2 linked regions of the Caenorhabditis elegans genome follow. The protein of the gene in region 1 purifies or fractionates together with the protein of each later gene. This does not show direct contact. Each region holds a gene or a part of one and is shown in the gene's direction. Other genes may lie near its edges. The genes, in order: ife-5 and ifet-1.

Region 1 (8,650 bases):
TTTTCGTGGCTTTTGAGCAAAACAAATGAGATTTCCTGACATTTTTCCTCAAAAACTACAACTTTAAGTTAAAATTGTACATTTTTTTAATACGAAAAATCGCATTTTTGAGATATTTCGTTTTAAAAATTTCGATTTTTAGGTCCAAATTTTGCATTTTTGCTAGATTTTTCAATGATTTTATTCAAAAAAAGCGCCTTTTCGAGCTAAAATTGTATTATTTTCAGATTTTTCATCAAATTTTCATATGAAAAATGCAACGAAAAATCACATTTTTGCAAGTTTTTTTTCCTAAAAATTTTTGCGTTTTTCATGCATTTTTCATGAAAAATGGAATTTTTCGAGCTGAAATTGTAAAATTTTTGAATTTTTTCAAATTTTTATATGGAAAATTCAATTTTTCGTGGCTTTCTAGCATTTTTTGCTTGAAAAACTTCAATTTTAGGCGGAAATTGTACGATTTTTTTCGTTTTTTTTTTCTATAAAATTCGATTTTTCCTCCATTTTATTGTATTACTTTGCAAAAGCATCGATAATTCCGCCCATAAAAACTGCACAAAGAACATTCTCAATAGGCATCAGAACATCATGTACGGAGAGACACAGAGAAGCCAGCTTGAAGTAGATGAAGAATCCGACGACGCACTGAAATTGAGAAAAAATTGGTTAAAATTTCAAGTTTTATCGATTTTTTGTTCGTAAAAAAGGTAAATTATCTACTTTTTATGGCTTAAACTAGAAAAAATTGTCAATTTCGTAGAGTTTTTGGGCTGAAAATCGAAATTCTCACATAAAATTCATTTGTTAAGCTTCTTTTTCGCCCAAAAATGCAGTTTTCCGGCCAATTTTCTTTGATTTTCAGCCTTTTTTCACCTAACACTGTAGTTTTCTGGCCAATTTTTTCGAATTTTAGAGCTTTTGTAGGCTGAAAATCCACGTTTTTCAACTAAAACTGTAGTTTTCTGGCCAATTTTCTTGGATTTTCGGGCAATTTCAGCCTGTTCTAACCGAAAAATGCAGTTTTCCGGCCAATTTATTCAAATTTTTAGCCAATTTTCAACCATTTTTACCATAAAAATTTAGTTTTCCTGCCAATTTGGACAGTTTTTCAAAGATTTTCGGGCAATTTCAGGCCTTTTTCATCTAAAACTGCAGTTTTCCGGCCAATTTTTTGGAATTTTCAGTCATTTTTAACCTAAAAATGCACTTTTCTGACCAATTTTCTTGGATTTTCAGACTATTTTCAGCCTTTTTCCATTGAAAACTAAGGTTTCTGACAAATTTTATCGGATTTTCAGGGATATTTCGGCTATTTTTCACCGAAAAATGCACTTTTCTGACCAATTTTCTAGGATTTTCATGCAATTTCAGCCCTTTTTGATCTAAAACTGAAGATTTTCGGTCAATTTTCGGTTGATTTCCGCTGAAAATGCAGTTTTCCGGGGCTAATTTACTCGTATTTTCAGTAGTTTTTCACCGAAAAATGCAGTTTTCAAGCAATTTCAGCCAAAAAATCCACACTCACCAAGTACACCAAATCGTGTGGCGCCGTAACATACATACTATGCCGTTCCAAAGTGAACACAATAGACGCTATAACACACGCTTTTGTGGTAAACGATGGCCGAAGAATTTCATGATTCGTCGGGTGCCATGTGCCACGTGCCAGTTGCTCAACGATCTTTACAACGCCTGAGCCGGCTCCTTTCGCGACTCCAACAAGAATTTGCACCAAATAAGACTCTGGGTAGATCCTGACGGCGTGCTTCACCCCCGCAGCAATCTTATGCGTCCGTTGAACCTCTTTCAGCACTGAGAGCCCGAGCTTCACGGGAAACCACGTGGCGAGCCGGAAAACCACGTCGAACGGTGAATAGAACACCAGGTACCAGACGATGGAGCCGAGGAGTATGTCGGCGTGCTGTTTGAGCGGTGAGATGATGGGCTCGCCGAGCAGAAAACAGGAGAGGAAGCTGCCGGCGAACGACATGAGCATACAGGAGAGCCAGCATGAGAATGGGTGCTTACGGGAGAATGAGATGGCGTCTGGTCCCAAGTCGTGGCGGACGGAGAGGCAGGTCTGCAAGATTTGTCATGTTTTTCGGTAAAAATCTACTGAAAAATAGCGTTTTTCGATTTTTTTACTAAGAAAATTGGAAGTTTTCTGGCTTTTCTCTTGAAAATAGACAAATTTCTCTCCAGAAAATCTGATTTTTCTGGTGTTTTTATAAACACGAATTCACGCATTTCCTCGTTTTTTCGGGCAGTTTTTTGCAAAAAATTTGAATTTCCCAGCTTTTATGCAATTTTCCCGTCAAAATCACACATTTTTTATCAACATATAAACCTTACCAATACATAATGCGCCGCATCAAAGTACGGATAGAGCTTCAGCTTTTGTACGTAGCCTCCGGCATCTATTAGTGTGTCGTGATCGATGCTCCACTCGTCGGGAACCCATCCCATAGCTGAAAAAATTGGATATTTATTCGAAAAAAGTAATGAAAAACAGCAAAATTGGGCGAAAATCAATATTTTTGAAGGGAAATTGAAAATTAAAATCGAAAAAAATTGGGTTTTTTAATTACGCTAAACAACACGCGTATGCGGGATTTCGGAGCGTCGTTGCAACATTTTTATACTTTTTAATGCATTTTGCATTTAATTTTCCATTTTATTTGAGAATTCAGCGATAAATTTTATAAATTTGATGTTTGAGAACCCGGAAAATGATATTTAATCGATATTTTGCAATAATAATAACGAAAAGCTTGCAGAATCCGCCGAAATTCCCATGACAAGCCGGATTTTGCAACGATTCTTCACTGTTTCGACAAGTTTGAGGAGTCTGACACGCGCAGAAGTTCCCGGAGAGAAGATTGATGCAAAGAGGTGAATATTCTGTGAAAAAACATTGAAAACTGAGGGAAATTTTAATTTTTCCTCAAGTTTTACCGGAAAAATTGAACAAAAATTTAATTTTCCAGAGCCCGGCTTCTCTACCAAAGCAAAAAACGTGGAATTCTGGAAAACGACATTCTCCTGGGCGATTTTGCCGAGCAAAACCTCAAAAAAATGAGCGAGCCCGAGCTGAAGGCCTACGATAAGCTCATCAACGGAGAACACATGGAATGGGACCTCTTCTACTATCTTTCCAACAAGAAAAGCCCGCCGGAAGACGTGGAAAGCTGTCAGGTTTACCAAAAAGTCAAGAAGTTCGTCGACGACAAGCGAGTGCCGAAATCATGATAATTTGATAATTTTTTGCCGGAATTTCCTCAATTTTCCCCTGAAAATCTCGAATTTCCTTTTCTCTCTGTACATTTTTTAGGTTTACCGTTGATTTTTTTACTATGAAAAGGTGATTTTTGTCCTCAAATTTCTTGAAAAATGCGTGAAAATTCGCTTGAAAAATATTTGAAATTGTTTAATTCTCATTTTTGACAGTTTTCTGCTATTTTCCATGAATTTTCGGCCAAAAAATCTCGAAATTCGTTGGATTTTGCAGATTCTCACCAAAAAAAAACGCATTTTTCTGTCCATTTTCAAAGAATTAATTCTTATTACGCTAAACAACACGCGTCTGTGGAATTTCGGAGCGTCGTTGTTCAACATTTTTACACTTTTTAATGCTTATTTTCCATTTTATTTGAGAATTCAGCAATAAACTTTATAAATGTTATGTTTTAGAACTCGGAAAATGATATTTAATCAATATTTTGTAATAATAATAACAAAAAGCTTGCAGAATCCGCCGAAATTTCCATGACAAGTCGAATTTTTCAACGATTCTTCAGTGTTTCGACAAATTTGAGGAGCCTGGAACGCTGCTTAGCAGTTCCCCGGAGAGAAGATTGATGCAAAAATGTGAATATTCGGTTAAAAAACATTGAAAACTAGAGGAAATCGTCAATTTTCCTCAATTTTTACCGAAAAAAATCAGAAAAAAACGTAAATTTCGAACAAAAAACTAGTTTTTCAGAGCCCGCGGCTTCTCTACCAACGCAAGAAACGTGGAATTCTGGAAAATTTATCTTTTAAAAATTTATTCCATTTTCCCCGTGAACTTGTAATGACACGTCATTTAGGGCACAATTACAGTTGGCGTTTTCCCCAGAATTCTTCTTTCGGCTTCTCAGAGATCAGTCTGAAAATCTCTGGTTTTTCTCGCCGTTTTGCATCACTTTTTCGTTCCACGTGTCCATTTTTATTAGCTTTAAAACATGCCTATGAGGTCACAATGACCGAATATCATAGTAAAAAAATTCGAAACAATTTTCTAGATTTTATATGATTTTTTGAAAATTGAAGAAATCTCAGTTTTCCCCTAATTTCTATTTGAACTACCGCCAATTGGATTTGTTCGGTGGAGCGCGCTTGCACTACTTTAATTAAAAAATTTCCATTTATTCTGGTTATTTGACTGATTTTCTTCATTTTATATGTTCTTTTCATCAGAAAATCGAAAAAATAAATAAGAAAAATGCAAAATGTTTGTTAAAAAGTAACTAAAAATGCCTGAAACTGTTATATTTTATAGTTTCACGCAGTTTCAGTTACTTTTTAACAAACATATCGCATTTGACTTGTTTATTTCTTTCATTTTCCGATGAAAAAACATATAAAATGAAGAAAATCAGTCAAATAAGAAAAAAGAATAAATAAAATTAATTAATTAAAATAATGCAAGCGCGCTCCAACGAACGAGTTCAATTGGCGGAAATTCAAATAGGAATTAGGGGGGAAAACTGAGAATTTTTCAATTTTCAAAAAATCATATAAAATCTAGAAAATTTTTTTGAATTTTTTACTATGATATTCGGTCATTGTGGTTCCATGGGCATATTTTAAAGCAATTTCCCCACTGAGCGTAGTCCACCTTTAAAGGTGGGGACCAAAATTTGAGACTTTGATTTTTTAGACCCAAAATGGTCCAAAACTACCGAATTTCATAATGAGACTTCACAAAAAATTTCCAAAATTTTTTTATGAGCGGTCAAAATTTCGAAAAAAAAAAGAGCCAAATTTTGCTAAAATCTGAAATTTCGCACACATTTCTTTTTGTCACAGCTGCTGGATTTTAGTTTTTCTAAAATTATCACCCGTTAATCCTTATTTTGGTAATTTATCTCGCGGAAATTCGTTGATTGAGACAACTTTTAGGCCGATAGGCATCCAAAAATGATCAAAATTGGATGCCTATCGGCCTAAAAGTTGTCTCAATCAACGAATTTCCGCAGGATAAATTATCGAAATAAGGGTTAAAAGGTGATAATTTTAGAAAAACTAAAATCCAGCAGCTGTGACAAAAAGAAATGTGTGCGAAATTTCAGATTTTAGCAAAATTTGGCACTTTTTGTTGTGAGATGGTCCCATCTCCCAACTATCTGGTACTCTGAGACACTCGCGAATACTCCCATCGTGTTCGCCGTACCAGAAAACCTATAAACCGCTCCTTCCAGTCGCTCTATCTCCCCCTTTCTCTAATCTAACGCGCGCCCTCATTTGAATCTCCTGCCAAGCTCAATGGTCTCGCAGCGAGTGTGCGCCGCGGGTCTCACCGCGCGCCCTCCTTGCTCATCCTAATTCGCTGGCCTAAATTAGTCGCTCCTCAACTCCCTTCACTCGTCTCGTCACCGCACCAGCGGAACCTTCCTTTCTTTTATAAATTAATTCTTTTATATTTAATAAATTCCCTTAATAGTTTATCAACCGCTTTAGCCGTTTGTATAGCAATGTTCCTACACGGAAGATGCTAACATCCGCTAATGACACATGATAACTATTCCCTAATCGACAGTTCCCTTTTCTATTATTCTTTAGCTAATAAATGGGGTTTCATGGTAATATCTTGTGTTACTCGTTCACACCGCTTATCCTCAAGGCAGACACTAAGCCAAAGGATTCGAAGGCTAGTTTATGTTTTTTAATTCGGGAAAAATGAAACAAAAAATCGTTTATTGCGGAACTTTTCGAGACGTCAACTTACACCGGCTTTCTTTACAGGTTGAGACCAAACGTTCCAAAACCCAACCGCTCGCCACTGTTCCGGCGGTACAGGGTACGGAAATCACCATAGATTGAGCTAAACGCCGGTCTATTCCTACATCTCACCACACAAGGACCGTACCCCATTGTTGATCTCTCGTTCACACCGCTTATCCTCCTCTTCGCTCGGCACTCTGCAAACGCCAGTTCTCTCTTAGACTCTTCTTCCGGCTTGACCCCAGTTGCGGCTCCCCAACCCGCTACACTGGGCGGTCAACACTTTTTTCGAAATTTTAACTGGCCATAAAAAAATTTTGGAAATTTTTTGAGAAGTCTCATTATGAAATTTGGTAGTTTTGGACCATTATGAGTCTACTAAGGCACTAAAAAAGTTCGACTACACCACCTTTAATTAATTCTCTCTGTTTACTGATTTCAATAATCGAATTTTTTTCCAGGATATGACTGAATTGACGACACCCATCTATCCTCTGCAGCGGAACTGGTCGTGGTGGTTCTTGAACGATGATCGCAACGCGTCTTGGCAGGATCGTCTGAAAAAGGTGTACACCTTCAACACCGTACCGGAATTCTGGGCTTTCTACGAAGCTATCCTTCCACCAAGTGGCCTCAACGATCTGTGCGATTACAACGTTTTCCGTGACGATATTCAGCCGAAATGGGAGGCTCCGGAAAACTGGGATGGTGGACGTTGGCTCATTATCATTAACAAGGGAAAGACTCCCGAAGTGTTGGACGCCGTTTGGCTGGAAATTCTCTTGGCTTTGATCGGCGAGCAATTCGGAAAGGATATGGAGTCGATTTGTGGGCTGGTGTGTAACGTCAGAGGACAGGGATCGAAGATCAGCGTCTGGACTAAAAACTGTAATGATGATGATACTAATATGAGGATTGGGTATGCATTTTTTAATTTTTAATTTTTCAATTTTTTAATTTCGTCATTTCCAGAGTTGTGCTGAAGGAGAAGCTGATGGCCGCGGCATCCAAGGCACACTCGAAGCCACTGTTCGACGTGATTCACTACCAAACACATAGGAATTGCGTGAAGAAGACCACCTCGGCTCTGAAATACAAATTTTCATTGAAATCCATCGTCTAAATTTAATGTAATTTCCTCAATTTTCCCCTGAGAACCCCGATTTCCAGATTTCTCTGTACATTTTTTAGGTTTTCCGTTGATTTTTATTATTAAAAACTTGATTTTTGTCCTCAAATTCTTGGAAATTCCTCTTAATTGCGTTAAAATGCGTTAAAATTCGCTCGAAAATGTTTGAAATTTTGAATTTTCGATTTTGCGCGCCATGGGTCTCGCAGCGACTTTTCGAAAATCTTCAGATTTTTATTTTTTGCGCGCGCGCGCGATTTTTCCGATTTCGCAAAATTTTACATCATTTTTCACAAATAATCCTCAATTTTTATTCATTTTTGAGAATTTTTTGCCATTTTCCTTGAAATTACCCCCAAAAATCCTGAGAATTCGCCGAATTTTGCATCATTTTAGGCGTTTTTTATAGATTTTCGCCTAAAAAATTGCATTTTTCTGCCCATTTTTACAGAATTGTTGATTTATAGCTCTGTTTTTCATTCATTTTATGCTGAATTTCGATTTCCAGTGCATTTTTCTTGCGGAAACTTGGATTTTTGTCATTAATATCGATGTTTCTCGGCTGCTATCACCATTTTCAGCTATTATTCAGTTTTCCACGGGAAAATCGAATGAAATTCGCATGTTTTGTGACTCAAAACTCCATTTCTCGTCAATTCTTCAAAGAAATTAGGCCAAAATCGAATTTAAACGAAGAAAACCCGTGAAAAAACTATGGAATTTGAGTTTACAATCGATATTTTTGCGATTGTTTCGAAGCAGTTTTGCTGATTTTCAAGCTTTTTTTGATTATTTGAACGAAAAATTGCCATTTCCACGGGAAATTTGACTAGAAAATGGCTGAAAATCACTAAAAATGCCATTAAATTGAATAAATTATCAGAATTTCCTGCGATTTCATCATCGAAATGGTCGCTGATAAGGGAAAAATTACTGATAACTCATTTTCGAACATTTCCTCAGTTTAAAGTTTAAAATTCAGCCCTTTCAGTCGTTTATTACATTGATTTATGTGCATTTTCAGTAGATTTTGCTCAAAAATTACCTTCGTGCTCCCAAAAGTATGAAATAGACGATACAAATATGCAATACGAAGTGATATATCCAAATAAAAATTAATTCCAGTTGGCAAAATTTGAAATTTCATGAAAAAATGAAAAATTTCAGCTAAAATTTATCCATTTTTCGAAATTTTGAGGAGAATTCCAGTGGTATCATTAAGAAATGTACTATTTTTGCATCTTCAATGCCTTTTTTACACTATCATTAATTTTGCAAACTTCCCCATTACCGACATAGTTGGTAGGTTCTGTAACTTGTTACATTACTACAGTGCTCCACATAATGATACGGCCACCCCCAAATTTTGGTATAACTCAAAACTGGGTTGAGATAGCAAAACATAGTTTCTTGTGAAAATGTTCGCTGTACTGGCTAACTTTCAGATAAGTATTGGAAATATACCTGAACCGTTCGTAAAAAAAGATAGACCATTTTTTCATGAAAAACCATATAAAAAAATCCACAAAATGATAC
Region 2 (8,632 bases), on another chromosome or scaffold:
AGAAAATAACAAAAAATCACGAACAACTTTACTTTGGTATTGGAGCGCGCTTGCATCTCCATTTAAAAAAATGAAATTTTCTACGTCTCCATAATAGGAAAAACTATGAAAATTAATAAAATAACTGTTAATATCCGGCAGTAAAGTTTCTTCTGAACCTGAAACATCTGAAATTTTCATTATTTTTCTTCGCTTTTTAACATCAAAAACTAGGTTAAAAAGAGATTTGAAAAAAAAATTGTAGAGATGACGTGTTGGTCATCCGGCATCTAATCAACTCTCTATTCTGTGTTTAAAAACACTGAAGACGGACGAAAAAGTTGTATTTTTTTGCTTTGAAAATTCTCTCTCTCTCCTTTCTTTTTTTTCTTTTTTCATCCAAAAATTCGTTCACGTTCACAAGTTTTCGATTAAGACATTTTAAAAATGGATCCGCCAACCCGGAAATTAACGCTTCTCTTTGCATTGTGGGAGAAGAATTTCATGTGAGAAACAACAACAGCTTTAAGTGTTCGAAAAGCTCAAGTCTAAAAAATTCAATTTCCCGCTGTCATCTGTGTTCAAACTCCGCCCATTTTGCAAAATTCTTTAAATACGTACAATACTTTTCTGGATCTAGTTATGCTACAATTCTCAATTACTTATAATTCTAAAAACTAAAATTTAATAAAAATCTTTAATTTCAGAATCGGTTACTCGCTTCTCGCGGTTGGCATAAGCGAGTATCTGTGATCCAAATGTTCTCGACCAGAGGGGTACTCCTTTTACTGTCTTTGATGGCTGCTGTAGCCGCATTCGGGCTGTTTTCTAGACCGGCTCCAATCACTCGGGACACTATCCGACCACCACGTGCCAAACACGGTTCGCTGAAATTATGCCCACCAGGTAATTCATTTTAGGAATTATAGAAAGAAGTTAGCTTTTTGATTCAAAAAATAACTCTAATTTCTAGGAATTCAATGTCTAAAGTCGTTATTTTACAGGTGGTGCCTCATTCCTTGACGCTTTCAACTTGATTTGCCCAATGCGCCGTCGACGCAGGAGTGTTTCAGAAAACTACAACGACGGCGGTGGCAGCCTTTTGGGACGGACAATGAATATGTGCTGTGAGACGGGATGTGAATTCACTGACATTTTCGCAATCTGCAATCCTTTTGGATAAAAACGATCTACTTTACCCTCGCTTTACTGGAACTCCAAATAAAACAATTTTCTAATTCTTTTCTCTGAATCTTCCATCATCTTGTTCTACCGTGCGCCAGCTTGACACTCTCAATCCCATCCCGTATGTCCACACCAATCATGCTTGTTGGGTTTAGATCTCATAAATATTTCGTTAACAAAATTGAGTTGTATTTTTCAGATATATATGATGTATGTTACTTTTGAAGTTTTTTAATTTTAACATTTATCGCAATGCGACATAACAATGAAATTATAAGACTTAAACTTCTTGTTGGACTGGTGGCTCGTAGTCGTCTGGGCGATCAACCTTCTCACCGTCGGCTCCAACGGTGATGGAGTCTCCGTGCAAGTCGTGAAGACGTCCAAGATCAACCTTTGGTCTCTTGATGATCTTGACCTTACGGATGTAGACTTCTTGGAGTGGGTAGAGCTTGGAGCAGGTCTTCTCAATATCTTTTCCGATGGAATCTGGGATGAGCTTGCTGACAACCTCCTTAAGGTCGCATCCGGTGACCTGCAATAAAAAATTTGTTTTCTTTCATTAGTTATTTTTTGCTACATACCTCCTTTTCGATGCATCCGATCATCTCGGAACGGATCTTGCGGATCTTGGATGTCTTGGTGTAGGAAGTCTTCTTGACTTGGTTGACGGACTTCTTGGTGAAGGCGATAACGAAGACACGGAGAGTGTATCCATCAGTGGTCTTGACGGCGGTGTTGGCCTCGATGAGAGTATGCCACTTCTTGACGATGGAGCACAACTTATCGTGGGTCATCGACATAGCGTGGAAGTTGGTGAGAACGTTCTTTCCCTGGACATCTTCAGCGATGAGCTTGAACTTTCTGAAGTCGGCCTCAGAGTTGTTCAAGTCTCCGAGTGAAACCTCGAAGACACGTCCCTTAAGTCCTTCGGAAGCGATCTTAGTTCCTTGGGTTCTGTTGATAAGGGTCTTTCCAACCTGAAAATAGCATTTATAGAATTATAAAACAAAATAAAACGTTACCTGGCGGGTGTTGAACATGTTTGGGGCCTTGATGTCGTACCATTCCTTGCGGGAGAATGGATCCACGGCCTTCTTCTTACCTCCCTTCTTTCCCATCTTGTTATTGTTCTTTCCGACCGCCATGATTGAAGCGGATTGATGCCAAGCTGTGTCTGAAAATAGGAATACATAATTTAACAGTACAAATTGAGAGTATAAGCTAAAAATTCGACGGAATTTTCCACTCGACACATGAGTTTGCAATAAGATATTAATAAACACTTGAATAAACGGATAACTGTTTGAAAAATTGATTTTTTTTCAAAAATTGCTGAAAAAATAGGAGGGAAACGGAAAAAGAAGGCACGGAAAAGTCCTAAAATTTGCAATTCTCGAGTTGCGTCGCAAGTGTATGCCATACACTCCGCATGACGCTCCACAATGCGTATTACCGTAGTCACAGCGCGTGAGAGACATCTTCTCTCAAACAGACCCGTTTTCATTCGTTCTTACGCTTATTTCAGACGTCTTTCCAGATTATGCGAAAATAAAATTAAAGCATGCAATTCGTCTCATTTTCAGCTGCCATTTCAGCTATAATAGTTGTCATACCTCTCGTTAATCGGAAATTAATAGGCCAAAACCAAATCCATTCAAATTTTGGCGCTAAATTTTTGAAGATGTGCGCAGCGCCAGAACTTTTATGTATTTTCCAGCTCTAATGGGTTTTCAGTTGCTTCTTATCAATTTTGGTCGCCAAAATAAGTTTCTGCGCGGTAAATCGCTATGCTTCGTTTTTTTAGTTAGACATAACAAAAAATCGATATAAACTCGATTGCGATACGTTGTTCTTGCGCAGCTGGCATTCTCTTCTTTTCTGACTGCGATGGATTTTAATGCTAATTGTTGAATAACTAATCATAGACATTCGATTTTTCAGTGTAAATATGACTAGTCATCTAGACGACGAAGGCCTACACCCAATGGTCTCAACCCTTCTCGGAGGGGGCACACTTCCGACGGTACCGTTCAAAGCGTACACCAGAGAACGAATGATGGAACTGAGAACTACCAAAGCAAGCATGACGAGGCCTGAAAACCTCTCAGAAGATTTCAATGGGTTAGTGGTACAGTACGCAAAATATAATTGCATAAAATACAATTTCAGCGAAGATGGTAAGTTTTCTCCTTTGAAATGGCTTGAACACCGTTGGGAAATCGAAGGAATTAAAAATCGTCCGATGTCGAAAAAAATTGATTCGTTATGCGCTGGCGCTGATGAAAATACGGGTTTGTCTCCACAACGGAGAGCATTTAGCAGTGGCTGCAAAGCACCAACAGACGACAAAGGACGTGACGGTAATCAGCTTGGAAATACGAGTTTGATCATAAACTTTATTTTTCAGGAGAGTACGAAAGATTGGGAGGGCATGGAAAGAACTGGAGAAACGGAAGTACCGGTGGTGCCGATAAATTTGCTTCGAGAGGAAATGACTTCAAACCATCCTTCGTACGCAGTTTCAAAATATAATGTTTCATGTTTTACCAAACATTTTTCAGCAGAAAGGTAACCAGCTTGAACGTGGTACTCGTGGAGCCGAATGGAAAAAGGATACGACACGAGGGGCAAAATTCGCACCACGGAGGTTAGTATTGAGTAGTAGCTAAAAATAATGCTGATATTTCTAATTCAGAGAGGAACGCCTTACGAGCTTGAGCGGAAGTGAGAAGCTGCCAGAATGGGCTGACGGTCCCACTACAATGGACGATATGATTGAGTTGCGCGGATTTGATGAACCAAAAAGTATTCCTAATGTCTCCTATTTATTTTATAATGTTATTCTTTTCAGAAGTGAAGAACAAAAAGAATCCAAAGGAAAAGAAGGAGAAAGAAGCTGTGAAAGCTCCGGAGCCAGTGGAGTGCGTTGGATCCCGTCCGTCATCAACTGGTCTCAAGACTTCTGAACCTATTGACGATCCAGCAATTGCTTATTCTTCTTCGGGAGGAGGAGCTCTTCCGGCTACGGATCAGGAACTCGCGGCTCTTCTGGGATGTCTTGACATTCAAAAAACATCAAGAAAGATCGATGGCGACGATATGGCTTGGGCGCACAAGAGTGAGGAAACTGCTGGAGGAACTAGTCGTCTCAGTCGGTTCTTCGCAAAGAAGAACAAGTCCCCTGAATTGGACGCTATGCTTTCGTCAGTTGGAGGCGGAAACGATGAAAACGTGGCTAATCCAATGCTTGCAAGACTTTTCGGTCATAGTGGTGGTGATAACAACGCTTCATCTTCTGGAGCTGGTGATATAAAAGGAGGAATGCGGTTGGAAGATTTGGAGAAAGGCATGGAGTCAAAGGAACCTTCAAAAGTCAGTCCATTGCAAGATCCATCACAACAAGCACAACTTCTGCAACATCTGCAAAAATTCGCCAAACAGCAAGCAGAGTCTGGTCAGCACATACATCATCATAGACAACCAACACCACCAAATGGAGGTCCACAGCATCAACAACATTTGCATCACCCTATGGTTCATCCTGGAATGCAAATTATCGCAGATCCAAGCCTTCTTGCAAGCTTCGCACAGAATCCAGTGATTTTGAATGCCTATGTCGAGAATCAACTTCAAGAAGCAGTCAATGCTGCAATTCGTGCAAACAATGGGCAGCAGCTTCCACCACAGCTTCGTATGTTAAGCATTTTTGAATACATTTCATGATTGAATTATTTTTCAGATGAGCAACTTCGTATGGCATCCATGCGTAACAAGGCTTTCCTACAGTCTCAGACTCTCACTTTCGTTAGTCTTCAACAACAGCATCAGAACATCCAGCAGCATCAGCAACAACAACAGCATCATCAACACAAAGGTCGCACTCCTGCTATGATACCTGCGTCTGTGCAGCGGCAATTGCAGAAGAGCTCCTCAAATGCTGATCAGAAGAAAGAAAAGACGAGTCAGAGCCCGCCAGAGAGCAACCAAGAGACTTCCGACGCTCATAATCAATCTGATGCCATGAACCAACTGAAGAAATTGCACATGCAGCAGAACTATGCCAATATGGTGCAGGCAATGAATTCTGGAGTCGGATGGGCACGCGGAAACGGCGTTGTTAACGGACAACAGCAACATCCACAGCAGCAACTTCCACCAAATGTTCAAATGCTGATGGCTCAACACCAGCAAGCTCAAATGCAGCACCTCAAGATGATGATGTCCCGTGCTCAACAACAGCACATGTTGATGGCAAAGATAGCTCAAATGCAACAACAGCAAGCCCAGGTACTCGTTTTTTAAATCAATACAAAATTATATTTTCAATTTTAGATGGCTAACATGCAAGAGAGACAGGGACCCAGTCATAATCAGCAACAACACCAACCTGTGGTTCCATCCGAGCTGTCACAGGTGCTTAAATCGAAACGTTTGCCTATTAGTATATCCAATTTGCAGGTCGGGCCAATTCAAACTCCGCTTGAGAAGCTGCTGGCATCGGTTGGAGTTCAGGGATCTCAATTCACTGGTTCGTGCTAAAATTTTCTAATTTTTTGCTAATTTAACTTTTTCAGGGTCCGGAGATCGAATTCCATCGTCGGTCCGTCCAATGTCTCTGGAAGATCTCGAGAAACAGTTAACAGCTGTTCCAAAGTAGAAATATGGGTTTAATTCCCTAGTTCATAATAGCAACTTTTTTTTTGTTTTTCCTACCTTCACATATATTCAACCATGTTTATCGCTTACCATCCACCAAGCGGGTACACATAGTCATGTATTCGTATTATTTTTTTCTTCTCTCTTGTTCATATAATCCCATCTCTTTCTGGTCCTTTTCTCCCTCGTGTCCCATCAAAATTTCGCTTTACCGTCGCTATTTTCTTCGGTTTTTTGTTGTTCGGCATTTCACTGAAATCGAAAAAAACAGCGGGGTGTCCCCCCACAACCTTTGTTGGTGATCCCTTGATAGTTTCCGTAATGCCCCATAATAAGTTTGTTTCCTTTTTTTTAATTTTTACTTTTCTAATTATGTTCCAAGTTTTGTTATATTGACGCATCTTCGACGTGTTTATATATTGGTCCCCGCTGCTCGAGTGAACCTCGATAGATTGTAAAGCGAACTTCAGTGAATTCAGAATGATTTGCATTTTTAGTTCATCAGAACTCCATTCTCAATGATTTCACTTCTTTTCCCCCAACCTACCGCCTTTTAGAACACACTGTTCTCTCTTCCTCCCCTTTTCTTGTAAGCTGGTTTTTCACTTGTTCTTCCCCTCACATCTACCCAAATCCCTTCGGAAAGTTTGTATAAACACCTTCGTAGAGAATTTCTTGCATCCCGTCGGATGCGTAGAGGATCTCTCGAAAATGCGAAAAGTTTTATAAGGGTACACTCATTTTCAATTCCATCTCCCACTCAATTTTACATCAGATTGTCCCTAAAACGTTTTTGTACTTGTACAAGTTTGGTGTCCACATTTTGTTGGATCTCGTCCACTCTTGTTCTCATTATTTTTTGTCTCCTTTTGTGCACCTCCCATGTTGTGCCACGTTTTTCATAAGCAGTTCACCATTCCAAACAGTTTTTTGTAGACACATTTTTCGTTTTTATTTTAGAAATGAGAGGTGATGTGTTCTATAAGATGGATTTGGATTTGGATAAAATGAATAATTGAAGAAGATTTTAAATTTTTGGTTTTGCAATACATGGCGAATACAGAAGGAAAGTGAACTAGCAAGACTCGACTAAACCTTTTCCGAATTCTGGGTTTGAATACATATGTCTAGGTTTCTATTTAAATATAATTGATGTTTCTTCGTTTCCTAGTTGTTAAATATTTTTGAATTTAAAACTATTTCAAGAAAAGAAAGAAAAACCTGTGAAAGTTGCAAAAACTAATAAGCCTACCGTATTCACAGGTACGGTAGTTGAAAAGTTTCTGTCGTGCCAGAACCAAGAGTCGCATTTGATGCAAGGAATCTCGGAGTCTAGTTTATAAAAAATTCCAGAAATAAGTTATAAATTTACAAGACGCCGAATTGCTTAACCATTAAGAGACAACACCGAGAGAGCGTTGACTGTTGGAGTGTGGTGCCTGCTATTTGATATCCTTTCGAGGTGTGCTGCTCTCGTGGCCGCGTGGCCTAATGGATAAGGCACCAGACTTCGAATCTGGGGATTGCAGGTTCGAGTCCTGCCGTGGTCGAAAGTTTTTGCTGAAACCATGATTCAAATGTTATTTTCAAGATAAAGTCTTTAGTGGAATTGATTCATGTTTAAAATCGAGTAAACTAATTCATTCAAAATCATATTTCTTTCATTTTGTAAAAACCGAGTTCTTCTAATTCCTAATTCTTCTTTTCCTATGATTCAAACTTGGCTTTTCTCCATCCGCCATCTCCAACTTTCGAGTTATTCTTCTTCAATTTGTTCCGTCCATCCTGCTTGTAGTCAATCACACATGTATGATTCTTTGGATGACGATGACGATCACAGAAGATTCTAAGACACTTGCAATGCATGGTCTGTTGAGCTGCGGAGAGCTTCTTGAAACAAGTCTGAAATTTGATTTTATTTTGATTTCAAATACAATAGAAACACTTACATTACACTTGGTCTTTCTCTCCGCTTCGAATTTTTTCAAGTTCTCAAGCAATTCTTCTTCGCTGCTCGGAGCAAGAACCATCGAACGGCGGCATTGTTTGTGTTCCTCAATTGTTTCAGGTGGATCGAAGAAGAGCTGTAATATAATAAAATAAATCTTCGTAGATTTCATATTTTTCACGCAAAACTCTTGCCACTAATAAACTTTTCAGAAATTTTTAATCGAAGCAGAAAAAAATAAGTGCGCGTCTTTAAAAAGTACAGTAACCCACTCCTCGTTATTTTTGGGAAAATATGCAATTTCTAACTTGATTAGTCCTCCCGAAAATTTAAAAAATACTTTCACACATTTGAGTGTTTGAAAATAGTAAAATAACTTGAGCGGGTTACTGTACATGTTAAAGGCGCACACCTTCTGGATAATGCCGCCAAATGTCTGCTGCTTAACTGGCATATTACCTTGAGTTCTTTTTCGGTAACAACCTCGGCATCACTTTCCGGTTCACTTCCAGAGCTGACATGAGATGAAACTGTAGACGGCGAAGACAACTCTCCGGGAGGAGTTGCAACCGGCGAGAATCTGGAATTACTTTGTATAAAACTGCTTTTTGAATATTCAAGCGTTTCACGGTATTTCAGAGAAACATTCCAAAAACTCACGTTTGCGCAGATCCGATTTCAGAATCAACCGGTGTTCCAGACAAGATTGGTGCGTGTTTCTTACGGCGAAGCAAAGTTTTCATTCGATTTCTAGTGAACTCATTTTCCATTTGCTTCTCCGGTGTCCAAAGACTTGCATTTGCATCTATGCCACTCATCTTCTTTGGTTTACGATGTACCGTATGCATTCCTTTGATCTCC

Evidence for each region.
Region 2: the proteins of ife-5 (region 1) and ifet-1 purify together in Caenorhabditis elegans (affinity purification with western blotting, with the first as the bait; one study listed by BioGRID). This does not show direct contact.

Annotation. Positions count from the first base shown.
Region 1 is NC_003280.10:12,276,914-12,285,563, forward strand, and holds ife-5 (Eukaryotic translation initiation factor 4E-5), read left to right. Parts: upstream 1-3,746; 5' UTR 3,747-3,867; intron 3,868-6,446; 5' UTR 6,447-6,449; coding exon 6,450-6,904; intron 6,905-6,957; coding exon 6,958-7,108; 3' UTR 7,109-7,226; downstream 7,227-8,650. Other genes in the region: tric-1B.2 (Trimeric intracellular cation channel type 1B.2), read right to left, coding at 518-645, 1,526-2,080, 2,353-2,466; Y57A10A.29 (Succinate dehydrogenase assembly factor 2, mitochondrial), read left to right, coding at 2,795-2,892, 2,988-3,249. UniProt on the Caenorhabditis elegans protein: Recognizes and binds the 7-methylguanosine-containing mRNA cap during an early step in the initiation of protein synthesis and facilitates ribosome binding by inducing the unwinding of the mRNAs secondary structures.
Region 2 is NC_003281.10:4,469,627-4,478,258, reverse strand, and holds ifet-1 (Translational repressor ifet-1), read left to right. Parts: upstream 1-3,108; 5' UTR 3,109-3,115; coding exon 3,116-3,288; intron 3,289-3,336; coding exon 3,337-3,527; intron 3,528-3,574; coding exon 3,575-3,678; intron 3,679-3,728; coding exon 3,729-3,814; intron 3,815-3,862; coding exon 3,863-3,972; intron 3,973-4,018; coding exon 4,019-4,858; intron 4,859-4,906; coding exon 4,907-5,454; intron 5,455-5,499; coding exon 5,500-5,580; intron 5,581-5,625; coding exon 5,626-5,695; intron 5,696-5,741; coding exon 5,742-5,824; 3' UTR 5,825-6,856; downstream 6,857-8,632. Other genes in the region: ins-17 (Insulin-like peptide 17), read left to right, coding at 738-885, 984-1,162; rps-3A (Small ribosomal subunit protein eS1), read right to left, coding at 1,445-1,699, 1,749-2,144, 2,190-2,312; mstr-2 (Ubiquitin-like domain-containing protein), read right to left, coding at 7,531-7,725, 7,773-7,907, 8,231-8,351, 8,432-8,632. UniProt on the Caenorhabditis elegans protein: Involved in translational repression of multiple mRNAs in the distal gonad. Recruited to the 3' untranslated region (UTR) of zif-1 by oma-1 and is required for translational repression of zif-1.